4 linked regions of the Saccharomyces cerevisiae S288C genome follow. The protein of the gene in region 2 binds, or shares a complex with, the protein of the main gene of each other region. Each region holds a gene or a part of one and is shown on either strand. Other genes may lie near its edges. The genes, in order: POM152, NUP85, NUP42 and SEH1. A codon is read from its position in the direction of its gene.

Evidence for each region.
Region 1: NUP85 (region 2) and POM152 share a complex: the UniProt entries of both Saccharomyces cerevisiae proteins name them as parts of the nuclear pore complex.
Region 3: NUP85 (region 2) and NUP42 share a complex: the UniProt entries of both Saccharomyces cerevisiae proteins name them as parts of the nuclear pore complex.
Region 4: the proteins of NUP85 (region 2) and SEH1 are in contact, whole or in part, in a crystal structure (PDB 3F3P), measured with the Saccharomyces cerevisiae proteins. Residues at the interface, in NP_012576.1 of Saccharomyces cerevisiae: Ser44 (codon at 2,638), Gly45 (codon at 2,635), Ala46 (codon at 2,632), Ile47 (codon at 2,629), Leu48 (codon at 2,626), Val49 (codon at 2,623), Pro50 (codon at 2,620), Met51 (codon at 2,617), Thr52 (codon at 2,614), Asp55 (codon at 2,605), Gln56 (codon at 2,602), Pro57 (codon at 2,599), Ile58 (codon at 2,596), Glu59 (codon at 2,593), Lys60 (codon at 2,590), Lys64 (codon at 2,578), Met65 (codon at 2,575), Pro66 (codon at 2,572), Leu67 (codon at 2,569), Lys68 (codon at 2,566), Phe69 (codon at 2,563), Lys70 (codon at 2,560), Leu71 (codon at 2,557), Gly72 (codon at 2,554), Pro73 (codon at 2,551), Leu74 (codon at 2,548), Tyr76 (codon at 2,542), Gln77 (codon at 2,539), Asn78 (codon at 2,536), Met79 (codon at 2,533); in NP_011415.1 of Saccharomyces cerevisiae: Met1 (codon at 1,571), Gln2 (codon at 1,568), Pro3 (codon at 1,565), Phe4 (codon at 1,562), Asp5 (codon at 1,559), Ser6 (codon at 1,556), Gly7 (codon at 1,553), His8 (codon at 1,550), Asp9 (codon at 1,547), Asp10 (codon at 1,544), Leu11 (codon at 1,541), Val12 (codon at 1,538), His13 (codon at 1,535), Asp14 (codon at 1,532), Val15 (codon at 1,529), Val16 (codon at 1,526), Tyr17 (codon at 1,523), Asp18 (codon at 1,520), Phe19 (codon at 1,517), Tyr20 (codon at 1,514), Gly21 (codon at 1,511), Arg22 (codon at 1,508), Val24 (codon at 1,502), Thr26 (codon at 1,496), Leu38 (codon at 1,460), Trp45 (codon at 1,439), Pro66 (codon at 1,376), Glu67 (codon at 1,373), Tyr68 (codon at 1,370), Gly69 (codon at 1,367).

Annotation. Positions count from the first base shown.
Region 1 is NC_001145.3:526,123-532,333, forward strand, and holds POM152 (Pom152p), read left to right. Parts: upstream 1-1,681; coding exon 1,682-5,695; downstream 5,696-6,211. Other genes in the region: ATP-dependent RNA helicase ECM16, read left to right, coding at 1-1,377; DPI35 (Dpi35p), read left to right, coding at 5,997-6,211. UniProt on the Saccharomyces cerevisiae protein: Functions as a component of the nuclear pore complex (NPC).
Region 2 is NC_001142.9:512,040-516,821, reverse strand, and holds NUP85 (Nup85p), read right to left. Parts: upstream 2,768-4,782; coding exon 533-2,767; downstream 1-532. Other genes in the region: DNA polymerase delta subunit POL32, read left to right, coding at 1-361; ribosome biogenesis protein URB2, read left to right, coding at 3,059-4,782. UniProt on the Saccharomyces cerevisiae protein: Functions as a component of the nuclear pore complex (NPC).
Region 3 is NC_001136.10:843,058-846,580, reverse strand, and holds NUP42 (FG-nucleoporin NUP42), read left to right. Parts: upstream 1-1,719; coding exon 1,720-3,012; downstream 3,013-3,523. Other genes in the region: MSS116 (ATP-dependent RNA helicase), read left to right, coding at 1-629; NAD-dependent histone deacetylase HST4, read right to left, coding at 3,132-3,523. UniProt on the Saccharomyces cerevisiae protein: Functions as a component of the nuclear pore complex (NPC).
Region 4 is NC_001139.9:311,604-314,804, reverse strand, and holds SEH1 (Seh1p), read right to left. Parts: upstream 1,572-3,201; coding exon 522-1,571; downstream 1-521. Other genes in the region: ribosome biogenesis GTPase LSG1, read right to left, coding at 1-174; YGK1 (5'-deoxynucleotidase), read right to left, coding at 1,965-2,612; 60S ribosomal protein uL15 RPL28, read right to left, coding at 2,878-3,201. UniProt on the Saccharomyces cerevisiae protein: Functions as a component of the nuclear pore complex (NPC).

The sequences.
Region 1 (6,211 bases), on a different chromosome or scaffold from region 2:
AGCGGTAGAGCAGGTCGTACTGGACCAGGCCATTGTTACCGTTTATATTCGTCTGCTGTTTTTGAACATGATTTCGAACAGTTCTCTAAACCTGAAATCTTAAGAATGCCAGTGGAGAGCATCGTGTTACAAATGAAGAGCATGGCCATTCATAATATCATTAATTTTCCATTTCCAACTCCTCCAGATAGAGTTGCCCTTTCCAAGGCAATACAATTACTGCAATATTTAGGTGCTCTTGATAATAAGGAGATGATTACTGAAGATGGTAAAAAAATGAGCCTGTTCCCACTTTCACCCAGATTTTCCAAAATGTTACTTGTTTCTGACGAAAAAGCCTGCCTTCCTTATATTGTAGCAATTGTTAGTGCCCTTTCGGTGGGAGATCCTTTTATCAATGAATTTGAGTTGGGAATAAACGAAATTTCTAGAAAACCAAATCCAGATGAAAATCTAGATGATAAGATTAGAGAGCACGATGAATCAACACCAGGTATGGATCCTGAACTGAAAAAGGAATTGCGCAGTAAATTCTATAAAAGCAGGAGTCAGTTTAGTAAATTAGACAAATTTAGTGACGTATTCCGTTTATTAAGTGTTGTAAGTGCAATGGACTACGTTCCAAAGGAACAAAAAGAAATATTCATGAAGAAAAATTTTTTAAGAGGCAAACTAATGGAAGAAATAGTAAAATTGAGGAAGCAGTTAATGTATATCATCAAGTCCAACACTTCAAAAGAAAATATTGCCGTAGTAATTAGGAATGAAGACTTGAAAAGTGATATTCCAAGCGTCATACAAATAAAACTTTTAAAACAAATGATTTGCGCTGGTTTTGTCGACCATGTTGCCGTAAGAGCAGATGTTTTATTTCCAGATGATGCTAAGATAACCAACAGAACTTCCATAATCAACATTCCTTATATTCCTGTTTTGGCCACGAGAACACCAAATATCGAGGACTGCTTTGTCTATATCCATCCGACTTCAATTTTAAATAATTTGGGGGAAATGCCACCCAAATACATGCTCTATTATTCCTTGCACCTTGGTGGAAATAATAAAACAAGGATGAATACTTTATGTGACATCGCAAGCACCCCCTTAGCGAACATAGCAAGAAAGGGACTTCTTTTGACATACAGTAAACCTCTGACTGGTCAAGGCTTGAAGACCGTTAATTTATCACCTACGGAACGGTATTGTTATGTGGTTCCTAGATTTGGATCCACAGTTGACAACGATCTCAAGATTGGTTGGGATTTAAATCCTATAGCAGTGCATCAGAAGAAGCAAAAAGGCCAGTGGACAGTCATTAAGTTTATCACCAGAAAGGGCTTCCAGACCATCACAGGTGAAGAGAAAGAAAAAAAATAATGCGCTGGTATTATAGAAATAGAGTTTCATTATATAAGAACATATAGGAAGAATACATTATTCCTATCTAGGGCATCAAATAATTGCAACCACTTAATGTTAACTTCCTTCATAATTCAAAACATTATGTTCTATAGCACTATGTATTTTATGTCATTATATACGTAGTCAATAACTTTATACGTTTTTTTTATTGAACAAAAGTAAGAATTGCTTAAGACATAATAAGAGGAAACTCATCGAACCAATTCAAAACGGATTATAGATTTATCATACCAGATACGTTTATCAGGAGGCTTGTATAATGGAGCACAGATATAACGTGTTTAATGATACTCCACGAGGGAACCATTGGATGGGCAGTTCTGTGTCAGGATCACCACGTCCATCTTATAGCAGTCGTCCTAATGTAAACACAACACGACGCTTCCAATATAGTGACGATGAGCCCGCTGAGAAAATCCGACCTTTACGCTCGAGGAGCTTTAAAAGTACTGAAAGTAACATAAGCGATGAAAAATCAAGGATATCTGAACGTGACAGCAAAGACCGCTACATTAATGGTGATAAAAAGGTAGACATTTATTCACTGCCTCTAATATCAACCGATGTTTTAGAAATTTCCAAACAAAGGACATTTGCGGTGATATTGTTTTTAATAATTCAATGTTATAAAATATATGACCTGGTAATACTTAAATCGGGGTTACCGCTTTCGGGTTTACTGTTTAAGAACTATCGATTTAATTTCATATCCAAGTATTTCATTATAGATTCCTTCTTCCTGTATGTTTTACCATCCTTTAACATTCCTAGGTTGACTTTTAAGCCATGGGTTGTTTATCTCCAGATTTTAGCTATGCTACTATTGAACATTTTCATATCAAGCGATCACGAGTTCGTTTTGATTTCATTAATTATGACCACATGGAGAAAACTTTATACGAAAGAATTAAGTGTAACAGGTTCAGCCATTAACCATCATCGTATTTTTGATTCTTCCGCTCATTTTAAGGGTGCTCTAACAATCAAGATCCTACCTGAAAACACAGCTATGTTTAATCCTCTTCATGAATCATATTGTTTGCCCATGGATACCAATCTTTTTAAAATTAACTCAATTGACGTACCCATCAGAATAAACTCAACTGAAGAGATTGAATATATCGAGTTGGAATATAGAGATCTTTACACAAATTCGGTAGAGTTACGGTCTTTGAGTAAGAAAGACTTCAAAATCATCGATAACCCCAAATCCTTTTTAAAAAAAGATCAGTCAGTTCTAAAGTCACATTCAAACGATTTTGAAGAAGGCAGTACAATTCGTTATTTGGCTGTAACTCTTCAAGATATTGGCTTTTATCAAATCAAAAAAATTGTTGATTCAAAAAAACTGAATTTAAAGATCCATCAGTCACACTTGGTTGTACCCTACTGTCCAATTGCATCTATTACTGGAACTGGAAGCAATGATAGATGTATTGGCGATTCAGATAATGTTTCTTTTGAAATTCAAGGTGTGCCCCCAATGAAATTAGCATACTCTAAGATCGTTAATGGTCAAACTTTTTCATATGTAGACTCCAGCTTGCAACCAGAATATTTTGAGTCTCCTTTGCAGTCAAGCAAATCCAAACAAAGTTTTACTCAAGGAGAACTAAACGATTTGAAATGGGGAAGAAACCAACCTGTTAATATTAATTTAGACTCTTCCATTACCCAGGACGGCAAATTTGCATATAAAATTGATAAAATAACTGATGGTCTGGGAAATGTCGTGGATTTTACATCTCTCCCTGAAGAATTAAAAAAGCGCTATGATCTATCTTATAATTTCAATGTTCATGAGGTTCCACGTGCAGCGCTAGAAGAAAGATTTGATCCAAAGTCACCCACAAAAAGGTCTATTGCCATCGTGTTTGAAGAAATCAAAAACTGGATTTCAGACATTCCATATGTTATTAGCCTATCCTATACTGATGCACAAGACAAGTCGAAAAAGATAATGAATGTTACTACAGATTCTTTGACCAAAGTGTTGCAAGCGGATCTTCCGGGGTCATATAACTTAGAATATATTGAATCTAAGTTTTGTCCAGGTGAAATTGTGGGTAAATCAAACGTTCTTGTAACTATGCCAGTTGCACCTACTATGGAAGTTAAATCATTTCCAATATTGGACCAGTGTGTGGGACAGGTTGGTCTAAACTTTGAACTATCTTTTACTGGGGCTCCACCATACTATTATAACACTAAAATCTATAAGCTTGAAAACGGTGAAAGAAAGTTATATGATGCAAAGAGATACACCTCTGAAGGTACGAGAAATCGCTTCAGCTATAGTCCACCTAAAGAAGGTAACTATGAAATCGTGTTTGATACTGTTTCTAATAAATTATTCACTGAACCAATCAAATTGGAACCTGTAAAAGAATATACTTTCAAGACATCAATGAGGGTGAAACCAAGCGCATCACTAAAATTACACCATGATTTGAAACTCTGTTTGGGTGACCACAGCAGTGTCCCAGTAGCACTAAAAGGCCAAGGCCCTTTTACGTTAACATATGATATCATTGAAACTTTTTCTAGCAAGAGGAAAACTTTTGAAATTAAAGAAATAAAAACCAACGAATATGTCATTAAAACACCAGTCTTTACTACTGGTGGTGATTATATTCTATCTTTGGTTTCTATCAAGGATTCTACCGGCTGTGTAGTTGGACTCAGCCAACCAGATGCTAAAATACAGGTGAGGAGAGATATTCCATCTGCTGCATTCAATTTTTTTGAACCTATCAAAGAAGCTAAAATTAAGCACGGTTCTGTCACTGAAATTCCGCTCAAATTAAGTGGAGAGGGGCCATTCACCGTTAAGTTTAAACACATGGATTACGATGGAAACATTGTGAAAGAATTTGAAAACAAATTTCAGAATAGTTATAAGCCCGCTTTGAAAGTAAGTAAAGAAGGGCTTTACCAATTGGTCGATATTCGTGACTCAAGTTGCCAAGGTAATGTGATTTACCGGAACAGTCTGTATAAGGTATCTTTCTTGGAGAAGCCAAAATTTGCAATTCAAGACAATCATCACATTACAAAAGTAACGGAAAATTTATTCTCTAAAGAAGAAGTCTGTCAAGGGATGGAAGGTACGGTTGATTTGGCTCTATTTGGTTCTCCACCATTCATATTAGAATATGATTTGATGGCACCCAACGGTCATATTTCTACAAAAAAAATTCAGGTGGCAACCAAATACGCTTCACTGAAACTGCCTAATCAAATTCCTGGAGAGTACATAACTACTATTAAGGCCATCTTCGATGGCAATTATGGTGAAAGCGACATACATTTTAGAGAACATCAGTCGGAGCTCATAATCAAACAGACAGTGCACCCCATTCCAGACGTCGCCTTTGCTGATGGTGGTAAAACCTTGCGTGCATGTGCTGCTAATGTAGATCAAATCTCATTTTTGGAACCAATAAATTTGAAATTTTTACAAGGCGAAAGCCCATTTTCAATCACCTTTAGCGTTTATCACGAGAGTACCAGTAGGACAGATCAGTATACCATTGACAACATTGACTCAGAGAACTTTTCATTTGAAAAGTTATATGAAGGGATGAAGTTAGGTAACCATGCCATTACTATTGATTCTGTTGTTGACGCAAATGGTTGTGTTAACAGCCTCATATCTGGACCGCGTAATCAAATTCTTGTGTCAATTACTGATGCACCAAAGATACATATATTAGATCCTTCTACCGAGTATTGTGTTGGGGACTATGTTGCATATCAATTAAACGGTGTGGCACCTTTCATGATTAAGTATGAATTCAACGGTATTCCACTAAAATCTAAGGAACGCAGCTCCCAATTTGTTAGATTAGCATCTGAACCGGGCATTATATCTATCACTTCTTTACAGGATTCATCATCACAATGCATTGTCGACTTTACGAACCCTAAATTAAAGAGTGAATTTGATGACTTATCTTTAAACATACATCCTATTCCTTCCGTAACTGTTTCTCAAGGAAATTACGTTACTGAGGATATCCGCGAAGGTGACCAGGCTGAAGTAATCTTTTCGTTTGAAGGTACCCCACCATTCTCACTAACTTATGTAAGGACAGAAGAGACTGATGGAAAACACGGCAAAAGGAGGTCGCAGGTTGTTGAGACGCATAAAGTCACTGATATATATTCTCATGAATACAAGGTAATTACAAGCTTGCAAGGTACCTACGAGGCGATTGAAATTACAGATGCTTATTGTTTTGCCAAAAATGATCTTTTTTTCAATAACTAAATATTACAAGAAAGTCTGATGAAATTTTTCTTTCCCGCAATATTTTTGTACAATTGTAATGTATAATATATCTCTGTACATCAGTATTAAAATACTTAAGAAAGCGAAAAAGACGCCTGTATTGTTTGTTGTTCTTTTTCTTCAAAATTATCAAGACGCTCGATTCAATTATCTTCGCTCATAGTAACTCGAAAGAGTGTAGGTGAATGAATAGAAAAAGAGAGCGCTGAGACCTTTGTCCTTTACGGTCTATAGAGGTGTGTTAAAAGCAGACTTTTGAACATCCACAGAAATTGGCTCAATGACCTATCCGAAAAGAATACCTATAAATGCGTGGTCTGAAGTTCATAGGGTGGCAAGGCCACTAATTATTACTTTCGACGCATATAATACACTATACGCCACAAAACTTCCCGTCATGGAACAATACTGCATTGTTGGGCGTAAATATGGTATCAAGGCGAATCCTTCGACTTTAACAAACAATTTTCCACACGTTTTTAAAAAACTGAAGGA
Region 2 (4,782 bases):
GCCCAACTCACCTAAAGAAACTGACAGCAACGATAAGGACAAAAACAACGATGATTTAGAAGACTTGTTGGAAACGACAGCAGAAGATTCACTTATGGATGTACCTAAAATACAGCAAACAAAGCCTTCTGAAACAGAACATTCAAAGGAACCTAAATCTGAAGAAGAGCCCTCCTCTTTTATTGATGAGGATGGATATATTGTGACAAAGAGACCCGCAACTTCAACACCACCACGCAAGCCATCACCCGTGGTAAAAAGGGCATTGTCGTCTTCAAAAAAGCAAGAAACGCCGTCATCGAATAAAAGGTTAAAAAAGCAAGGAACATTGGAAAGCTTTTTCAAAAGAAAGGCAAAATAATCTTCTTTTTTTTCCAAACACTTTCCATTACTAATTGTGATGTAATGTATAATACAAATGTCAACTTACGTGATAGAAAAATAGATCAATATAAATATATATTGTTGTTTAAATTTACTTATTTTCGTCATATATCCTAATATACCATCCGAAGGACATTACTATACTGATTTACATGAACGCTTGACATAATTTGAAATTTAGTTTCTTTCTTAAATTTTTCAAAAGTGTTGCCATGCTACTAGGTAAGCTTTTATCTGCTTCAATAATGGTTTCATATAAGTTTGAACTTTTTTCATCAGCGTCATCCCATTTAGTTTCTATAACTTCAATGACTGTCGCCACTGAATCTTCATCCATTAGCTTCTTATCATCTAAAAGGAAAATTGGGTACAGGAATTTCGCCACAAGCAAAACCAAGTAATGTTTTGGTAAATAAGGGAATTCAATCAGCAAAAGCAATAGGCGCAGCGCTTGGCCCCAATCTTCTCTGTCCCTCAGCTCATAGAATTGTGACAGAACAGCATATGGCGCTAAAGTTTGACGCATAGAATTCGTCACTACACAATCTAAAATGTCTTGTGGTATTATAACGTCATCCTCTGCAGGAGAGTTTTTGCTCACAATGGCATTCAACACAGGGTCGTCCAACTTCTGGCCCTCCATGCACGAAGCTTCAAATAATAGCCACGAATATGACTTTACCAGTTCATATTTGCCCGCCCTACTAAAATTTGCGATACTTTCAATTATGTTGTGTGCCGATAACATTTGATTACCCAACGTGGTGTATATTTCCTTCGCTATTTCTGGTAGTCTCCATTCTACACATATACTTAGCATCCATTCAATGTCATCATTCGTAACAAATGGGTAGTGTGGAAGTAATTCTGCAATCACCATTTTCTTTGCACTTCTCGTCCCTGTTGCAGATAAGGCTATCAATCCAATGGCAACGGGCCATAGTTCCTTATCACCCAGTGAACACAACTCAAAAGCGAAGCTATTTAGCATATAAGATGCCATACCATTCCTATAAGAGAATAGATCTTCAAGCATTTCGTTGTCTTCATTACTATAATCATCGCTATTTTTTTCACCCTCAAAAATATTCTCTATCAAACCTTTTGCTTCACAAATCATAGCGGTAAATGCTGCTGTGCAACTATCTAAAGATTCCATTACCGGTAAAATTGAGTGTATCTTACCACTAATGATGTCGACGCATGGTTGTTCCCAATCATTTGTTATGTCTACGACGTTAGCTTCCAGTGACATTTGTAAATATTCTGCTGATAGTTCTAATGAGGGGATATAGTATAATAAAAACCCACAAAAGGACTCATACCACGTCCTTGAATACTGCAGAATTTTTCGTTGATTTCCACCAATTACTAACAAGAAATCTTCAATGTAATCCCGTAATTCACCGGAAATATCAGTAGCAGAACTACCAAAGGCTTGACTTAATTTTAGCACCAAATTTTTCCATTCTCTAAATGTACTGGACGAATCTTTTGGATATTGTTTCAGGAGTTCGATGGAGTCACTTACTGCATCAAATGAAACGGCACATGTATCACTCAAATATGGTAAAAGATCTGATCTTTCAATGCAACCTATAGCTTGGGAGAGCAGGCCTCTTAAAACAAGCTGATTCAAAAGCTTCCAGAAATATTGTGTTTCGAACACTTTTTTACCTGCTGTAGAATCCTTCACTGAAAACACTTGTTCAATATATTCTTCATCTGGTTCACCGTCTGATCTATTAATCCAGTTTAGCAATGACTCAATAAACTCTGATCTGTTCTCCTCTACATCCTGACCATCTAATATGAAGTACATTGTCCTCAGACAGTTTAAAACGGTTAAAGATTCTTCCAACTCATAAAATCGGTTCACTCTTCCATCCTGATCCTTGACTCTACCAATAAACACTTCCAATTCATTCAGAATCGCCTCCATGGCCAGATTTACTGTTGCATTATGCTCCTTCGCGAAATTAGAATTAACAACTCCAATCGTTGGTACATTAAACACTCTGTCATCACCTAAATCACGGTAAATTTCAAATAAACCTGATACGTATGCAGAAAACTCTTTGCTGGTATCTAATCTAGGAATTCTAACAGGATAAAGCTTATATTTATCTTTTGCAGTTATGAATGCCATATTTTGGTAAGAAAGTGGCCCCAGCTTGAACTTTAAAGGCATCTTGTCGCCATTTTTTTCAATCGGTTGATCATTTACAGTCATAGGGACCAGGATAGCCCCGCTGACTGGGTCCCTTTTATATAGTTGTTCTTCTTCATCGGTCTTGTTATTACTAAGTTGCGCCGTTCCGTCGTCCAAAAAATCAAATTGATCGACGTCCATAAGTAATCGATTTGAATCATCGATTGTCATATCTGATAATTGCGTTCTGGCTCACGCTTATTGACTCAACTCAAGACCGTAAGTTCAATGTTTTCTATACAACTACAATTTGTACAAGGCTTGACTTCCATCCAACTAAAAAACCTCTCCGTCGTGCGCGATCTGAAAAATTTCACTTAGCTCATCTCAAAATGATCGCTAAGAGGGCACTTGGTCACAACTACAGAATTGTTTACTAGCATAGGAACATCTCTGTCTAAGATTTAGCTTGCCATCAATTATCTTTGGAAAAACAGAGAGTATACTGCACTTTTTGATAATATGGGTGATCTTACAGAAGAACTATCTATCCCAGACAATGCCCAAGATTTGTCGAAATTACTACGTTCGACGAGCACAAAACCCCATCAAATTGCCGAGATAGTTTCAAAATTTGATAAATTAGAAACCTACTTTCCAAAAAAAGAAATTTTCGTCTTAGATTTACTCATTGATAGGCTCAACAATGGAAATTTGGATGATTTTAAGACCAGTGAACATACTTGGATAATTTTCACGAGATTATTAGATGCTATTAATGATCCAATTTCGATAAAAAAACTACTCAAAAAATTGAAGACTGTGCCTGTAATGATAAGAACATTTTTCCTTTGGCCTAAAGACAAATTACTTACACGTAGCGTTTCGTTTATAAAAGCATTTTTTGCGATTAATGACTACTTGATTGTCAATTTTTCTGTTGAAGAGTCTTTTCAACTTTTAGAACATGCCATAAATGGATTAAGTTCGTGCCCGACGACTGACTTTGCGCTTTCATACTTGCAAGATGCCTGCAATCTAACTCATGTTGACAATATTACTACAACGGATAACAAAATTGCTACTTGTTACTGCAAGCATATGCTACTACCAAGTTTAAGATATTTCGCACAGACCAAAAATTCTGCATCTTCAAACCAATCCTTCATTCGTCTATCTCATTTTATGGGAAAGTTCCTTTTACAACCACGCATAGATTACATGAAATTAAATAAAAAGTTTGTCCAAGAGAATGCGTCCGAAATTACCGACGATATGGCTTATTATTATTTTGCCACTTTCGTCACTTTCTTATCAAAAGACAATTTTGCTCAACTAGAAGTCATCTTTACAATTTTAGGTGCCAAGAAACCTAGTTTAGAATGCAGATTTCTGAATCTTTTATCGGAATCGAAGAAAACCGTATCTCAAGAGTTCCTTGAAGCATTATTGCTTGAAATGTTAGCGTCGACTGATGAATCTGGAGTGTTATCATTAATACCAATTATCCTTAAATTGGATATCGAGGTTGCTATTAAACATATTTTTCGGTTACTTGAATTGATTCAGCTCGAAAATTTGAACGATCCTCTCTTTTCCTCTCATATTTGGGATTTAATAATCCAATCACACGCTAACGCAAGGGAATTATCAGATTTTTTTGCCAAAATAAATGAGTACTGTTCCAGAAAAGGACCCGATTCCTATTTTTTGATAAATCATCCTGCATATGTCAAGTCTATAACGAAGCAATTGTTCACTTTATCTTCTTTACAATGGAAAAATCTATTGCAAGCTTTACTTGACCAAGTCAATCACGATTCCACCAACAGGGTTCCTTTATATTTAATACGCATATGCTTGGAGGGACTATCAGAGGGCGCATCGCGCGCAACTCTCGATGAGGTAAAGCCTATTTTATCTCAAGTATTTACTTTGGAATCATTTAATAACAGTCTTCAATGGGACCTAAAGTATCATATAATGGAAGTCTACGATGATATTGTCCCTGCAGAGGAACTAGAAAAAATCGATTACGTGTTATCTTCTAATATTTTTGATACTACATCGGCTGATGTTGAAGAACTGTTCTTTTATTGCTTCAAATTGAGAGAATATATTTCGTTCGATCTTTCTGATGCAAAAAAAAAATTCATGAGGCACTTTGAAATCCTTGACGAAGAAAGAAAGTCAAACTTATCATACTCTGTTGTGTCCAAATTTGCAACATTAGTAAACAACAACTT
Region 3 (3,523 bases), on a different chromosome or scaffold from region 2:
AGTTGGCTAATTATATTCATAGAATTGGTAGAACAGCCAGAAGTGGGAAAGAAGGATCTTCTGTGCTATTCATTTGTAAAGATGAATTGCCATTTGTTAGAGAGTTGGAAGATGCAAAAAATATAGTCATTGCCAAACAAGAAAAATATGAGCCCAGTGAAGAAATAAAATCTGAGGTCCTAGAGGCAGTGACCGAAGAACCGGAAGACATATCAGATATTGTAATAAGTTTAATCTCATCCTACAGATCCTGTATCAAGGAATACAGGTTTTCTGAAAGGCGCATACTTCCTGAAATTGCTTCCACTTATGGTGTACTGTTAAATGATCCTCAATTAAAGATTCCAGTATCCAGAAGGTTTTTAGATAAATTAGGTTTGAGCCGTAGTCCAATTGGTAAGGCAATGTTTGAAATTAGAGACTATAGTAGTAGAGATGGAAATAACAAGTCCTACGATTATGATGATGATTCAGAAATTTCTTTCAGAGGCAACAAAAACTATAATAATAGGAGCCAAAATAGAGATTACGATGACGAACCGTTTAGACGCAGCAACAACAATAGACGCTCATTCTCCCGTAGTAATGATAAAAATAATTACTCCAGTAGAAACAGCAACATATATTAGAAAAGATAAAAAAGGAGGACCAAGAGATGTGGGTTGTATTTTAAATAACAATTCCTCTATTAAGACGCCTGTATTTTAGACCCCATCTTGATTCAATACTTTCACGTGTAAATACCTAGTATATAAATATTAAACAAAAATTTTTTTTCTTCTCCTATTCTCTTAAAATGATAACTATACGAAGATCCTACTGGTATATTTATTCGTCAATGCTTATTTACGACCGGTACCTCCATTCTTACTTTCGCTCTTCCTCCTCTCAAAGGAAAAGTAATTCTAACATTGTAATTCTTATTTAAACGGATGGAAGAAAGCTTTTGAGAATTTACTTGAAAAGTCAGGGTGTCTTAGGCGATTGATCACGGACATAGCCATATTACGAAAACTTCATTCTGAATATTGCCAACGAGACAATCGTGGGCTTGGTAATCGTTGAAAAATTTTCACATATTTTATGAACAGCTGAGCCTATTAACAATGAAAATAGTCTATACGATAGTCCAGAACTGAATAACAGTGTCAATCACTTTTTTTTTTATGATTAAATCCTAGTTAAAGTGCCGCTCTGCGAAAGAAAAATCAATAAATACCATTTGTTAGTGATCTAGCAATAATATCAATGACATCTTGTCTTATCTTAAAAATAAACAAAAAATTCTTTACAGTGTACTGAGCATTAATCTGGCTACGGCCTGGAGGGAAATTATGTCTTATACGAATTTTGCTCCGGCAATTCTATTTACGCTGTTTAGCTTATCATGCGATTTCAACCTTCTTTATATAGTAAATTAGCTTCGAAATAAAAGTATTCGCGAGAGGACAAGACATGAAACCTAAACCACGACGCTGAAGGTAACGACATCATAATACGTTTCAAAGGGCTAACCTTAATATACTGACATCTAGAAATATATTAATTCTGCATATCAAGAAACACGCCGACTGAGGGTGCAAGGTATTTGAAAAAAAATAGTGAATCAATAGATGAGCGCACAATGTTTAAAGTACTATAACACTGAACTGTTGTACTTTAACGCAAAAGCTCATCAAGCTATCATTAAATTTCGACCCGAGCAACGACTCAACTGTAATGTCAGCTTTCGGTAACCCATTCACGTCGGGTGCTAAGCCTAATCTTTCTAATACAAGTGGTATCAACCCTTTCACAAATAATGCTGCTAGTACCAATAACATGGGAGGAAGTGCATTTGGAAGACCTAGTTTTGGAACAGCAAACACAATGACAGGAGGAACCACCACTTCAGCATTTGGAATGCCCCAGTTTGGTACCAATACAGGCAATACTGGCAATACGTCAATTAGCGCTTTTGGGAACACCAGTAATGCGGCTAAACCGTCAGCATTTGGAGCACCAGCATTTGGTTCTAGCGCCCCCATCAATGTTAATCCGCCTTCTACTACGTCAGCATTTGGAGCACCGTCATTTGGATCAACAGGTTTTGGTGCTATGGCGGCGACAAGTAATCCTTTTGGTAAAAGTCCTGGCTCAATGGGCTCTGCATTTGGTCAACCAGCTTTTGGAGCGAACAAAACTGCTATCCCTTCTAGTTCGGTTAGTAATAGTAATAACTCCGCATTTGGTGCTGCGTCAAACACGCCCTTGACCACAACTTCTCCTTTTGGTTCACTGCAACAAAACGCATCACAAAATGCATCATCTACATCGTCAGCGTTTGGCAAACCGACTTTCGGCGCAGCTACTAATACCCAGTCGCCATTTGGTACTATTCAAAATACAAGTACAAGCAGTGGGACAGGAGTATCCCCATTTGGCACATTTGGAACTAATAGTAATAACAAATCACCTTTTAGTAATCTACAGAGCGGAGCAGGCGCTGGTTCTTCGCCGTTTGGTACTACAACCTCCAAAGCTAACAACAACAATAACGTGGGCAGTAGCGCATTCGGAACGACGAATAATCAATCTCCTTTTAGCGGAGGTTCTGGGGGCACCTTTGGTTCTGCTTCTAACCTCAATAAAAATACCAATGGCAACTTTCAATCTTCTTTTGGTAATAAAGGGTTTTCATTCGGAATTACACCACAAAACGATGCCAACAAAGTCTCGCAATCGAACCCTTCATTTGGGCAAACAATGCCAAACACAGATCCGAACATAAGTTTGAAGAGCAATGGTAACGCAACCTCTTTTGGATTTGGACAACAACAGATGAATGCTACTAATGTCAACGCTAATACGGCCACCGGAAAAATTAGATTTGTTCAAGGGTTATCTTCTGAAAAGGACGGTATTCTAGAATTGGCCGATCTCGCAGAGGAAACACTGAAAATATTCAGAGCAAACAAGTTTGAACTAGGCCTTGTCCCTGATATACCTCCACCACCTGCATTGGTTGCATAGTAAGGTCAAAGAAAAACATACAAAATGGTAACTTAAACAATATATATGAATATATATATATATCTAATGAAAAATGCATTAATTTTATCTCCAACCTTTTTTGGTAGGACAAATACTTTCTATAATAATGAGGTAACATGCTGACAATCTCCCAGTACAACTAGGTCTACAAATTTCAAAGAGTCTAGCACATTCTTAGGCGGCATACTGGTGTTTAAATATAACACAATACCCCTGTTTGCATGGACTTTGGCCGCAAACTGCCTGCAAATATTTTTCACTCCGGGAATCTTCAAACTCGTTCCAACAATAATCAAACAATCAATTCTTTTCTTTAAGTCATTATTGGCAATTTCACCGATAAAATCACCTTCAGGGTGGACCTCATTGTATAAAATTACTCTTGGACGCAACTTGCCCACACCAGTAGATCTTAAGCCTGCCATTTTTCTAACTGTTTCATATTCTTCACATTGTGGACATGACGGTATGATTTCAGTCCGAGAATCAA
Region 4 (3,201 bases), on a different chromosome or scaffold from region 2:
ATGCTTATCGGTAGTGAACCTCATTTCACCATCAGGTAAATACTCGATGGCATTTTCTTTTTGACGTGCATATTTAATAGCTCTGCCTAATTCAAGCTTATTTTTATTTTTACGGTGGGTAGGTTTTGGCCCTTTTGGCGCCTTCCATTTCTTGGGAGCTTCTTTTGGTGGCATAGTTGGTGGGGGTCCTCAATATCAGATTTAGTTTTGTGTTTAAAAGAAGTTGGCTTATAAGCTCATCACCTCTTTATTAAGTAGTAGAATGCATTTTCATTGACAAATTTTTTAATCTCGGCATTGAAAAATTTCCAGGCGAAAAGGCGAGGGAAGGGAAGCTTGATATAATTCGAAAGAATACCCAATATCAAGAATAATAATATCATTTGATGTAATATCATTATATTTGTAAGAGCTTTTTAAAAGCATCATCTTTCTTGATTCATCTGTTGCCTCGTATTATACAGAATAATGCACACGTATAAAGTACCAATATATAATGTTATGTATACATATATTCTTATTTATTGTTGGGCAGTAATTACTGACATACACTTAAATTCATTTGAATAAGTGGCTTTCCATAAACGTACCTTCCCATCATCCCCAGCACTGCTTAAGATTGTACCCGTTAAATTCCAAGACACGGACCAAACTTCGCCATTATGGTCATCATGCTCGCTTAGAAGTTCAACTTGCAAGTTTGATTGTAGCTCAGCTTTCTCTTCGGTATTTGAGTCTGATCTGCCCTGTGCATCCATGTCAACATCAGCACTATTATCAAACATATTTGAGTTAGTTAAAGACTCCTCTGAGGCCAGGGGACTTAGTTTTTCTGTGATTTTGAAAATTCTAATTCTACCATCTTTGCAACCTGTTGCAATGAGTTGATACCATCTACCAATGGAAGGAGCCCAGCTGATACTTCTTATTAAACTTTTATGACCGGGAAGTTTTGCTGCAACGTGAAGTTTACCGTCTTTACCCCTTTGGTATATAATCGCTTGTTCCAATGCAGAGACTGCGAGCTTTTCAGGAGAAAATCTCGAAGGACACCAAGAGAGACAAAAATCAGACTGTAAATGATTTGCTGGTGGTATAGATAGCACTTTCATCTCAGAAGTCAGTGTCCATGACCTTAGGTCAGAAGGTTCTAAGGCATCATAAAGTCTGAGGATTCCATCGTTACCCAAACAAGCTAATTTTAAGCCCAAATGCGCTGGCGCAAATTTTACACTATAAAGTGATCCTTTGGAATCATTCAGGGTACACAGCTTGTTCCAACGACGGCCAGAGCATTCTTCTTGGTCGGGATCTTCTTCCCATAATTTTACCGTCTTATCGTAAGAGGCTGAAGCAATGATGCGCCCATATTCTGGACTGGCCCAATCAATGGCCACGATACTACTGTCGTGAGCTCTCCATGAGTCACTGAGTTCCCAATTACTCGTGTCCTTGTCTAATTTAAAAACTTTAATATGTTGATCAGAAGAGCATGTTGCCACATGTCTTCCGTAAAAGTCATAAACGACATCATGAACTAAATCATCATGCCCACTATCAAATGGTTGCATATTCAGAAATATTATTGGGTCGTTCTTCTTCTTCCTTAGTATCTCTTCAGAAGGGAAACCTTGTTTATAATTTGGTTTACTTGTCTCTATTCAGTTCATGATTTTTTCCATCGTTTTGCCGAAGACTTAACTAACAATAAATAAGAGAAACAGATATATTAAAACTTGGTTGATAATGCAGCACGCACATTCAATCGCGAATAATATACAAAAGATTATTTCTAAAGTTACATATAATGCACACCGGGTGCTGGAAGTATAATACATGCAAAATAAAATGGGCACTATCTCGTTGAAAAGCATCAAGATGTTATTATAAATGATACGCACCACCAGGTGAAGGTTTGAGAAAAGAAAAAAAAGCACTAACTTTTCTTTCAAAAGGCCACATTATTACTCCTTCAAACTGTCGAAAAAGGCTTGTCGATCTTCCAGTAAAGATTGTGTCCATTTTTTAACTTCATCAGTTTTTATATCATTGATGGCTCCCAAAAATTGTTTCAAATCCTTCTTGCCATTATACTTTTGTTCGTACTCAAAACATTGAACCAACATTTCATACTTATCAATATCTTTGACATATCTTCCTTCCAAACAGGTCTGCTTTTCGTATGCTAACCAGTCATCAAGAATTTCCCTAGATGCGCTTTCACTGCAGGGCCTTATTATGCTTTCACAGAGATACTTGACAGTTTCAAATTCTCTGCGATGTTTCTCTTCCTTTGTCATTGGGTCATTAGGTGTAATATCACCAACTAATGACTCCGCAAAATCGTGAACAAGTGCGATTCTGATACATTTGTTACGATCAACATTCTTGTCCGTAATCAGCATGGTAGTTAAACCCATTCTGTACATATGGTCAGATATACTTTCGCATGGGTCAATACCATGGTCAACCCAACCAGTTCTTCTTTGCGTTTTCAAAAGTTGTATAATATTCAAAAACGCTAACTGATAATTTGGGTGAGGTTTCGAAAGAATTGCCAAAATCTCCCTAGGTATATTATCTTCTGGCTTCCAGATGTTAACTGCAGTCATTTTGTTTTTCCTGGTCTTTACCTCGAATAGGTTTTCTTGTTTTGTTATTTGTTTTCTTTTTGGACCCTATGTTTATATATGGATTTTGAAAATCTTTTAAAAAAGCGATAAAAGCGTTGGGATCTGCCACTGGTAACTTCAAAATAGACAAGACGAAAAAACGGTGAAAATGGGTGATAGAAATAATACAGAAGTAGATGTTGAATTAGATTAAACTGAAGATATATAATTTATTGGAAAATACATAGAGTTTTTGTTGATGCGCTTAAGCGATCAATTCAACAACACCACCAGCAGCTCTGATTTTTTCTTCAGCCAACTTGGAGACGAATCTAGCTTTGACGATAACTGGAACATTTGGAATTCTACCCTTACCCAAGATCTTACCGTAACCGGCTGCCAAAGTGTCAATAACTGGAGCAGTTTCCTTAGAAGCAGATTTCAAGTATTGGTCTCTCTTGTCTTCTGGGATCAATGTCCACAATTTGTCCAAGTTCAAGACTGGCTTCCAGAAATGAGCTTGTTGCTTGTGGAAGTATCTCATACCAACCTTACCGAAATAACCTGGATGGTATTTATCCATGTTAAT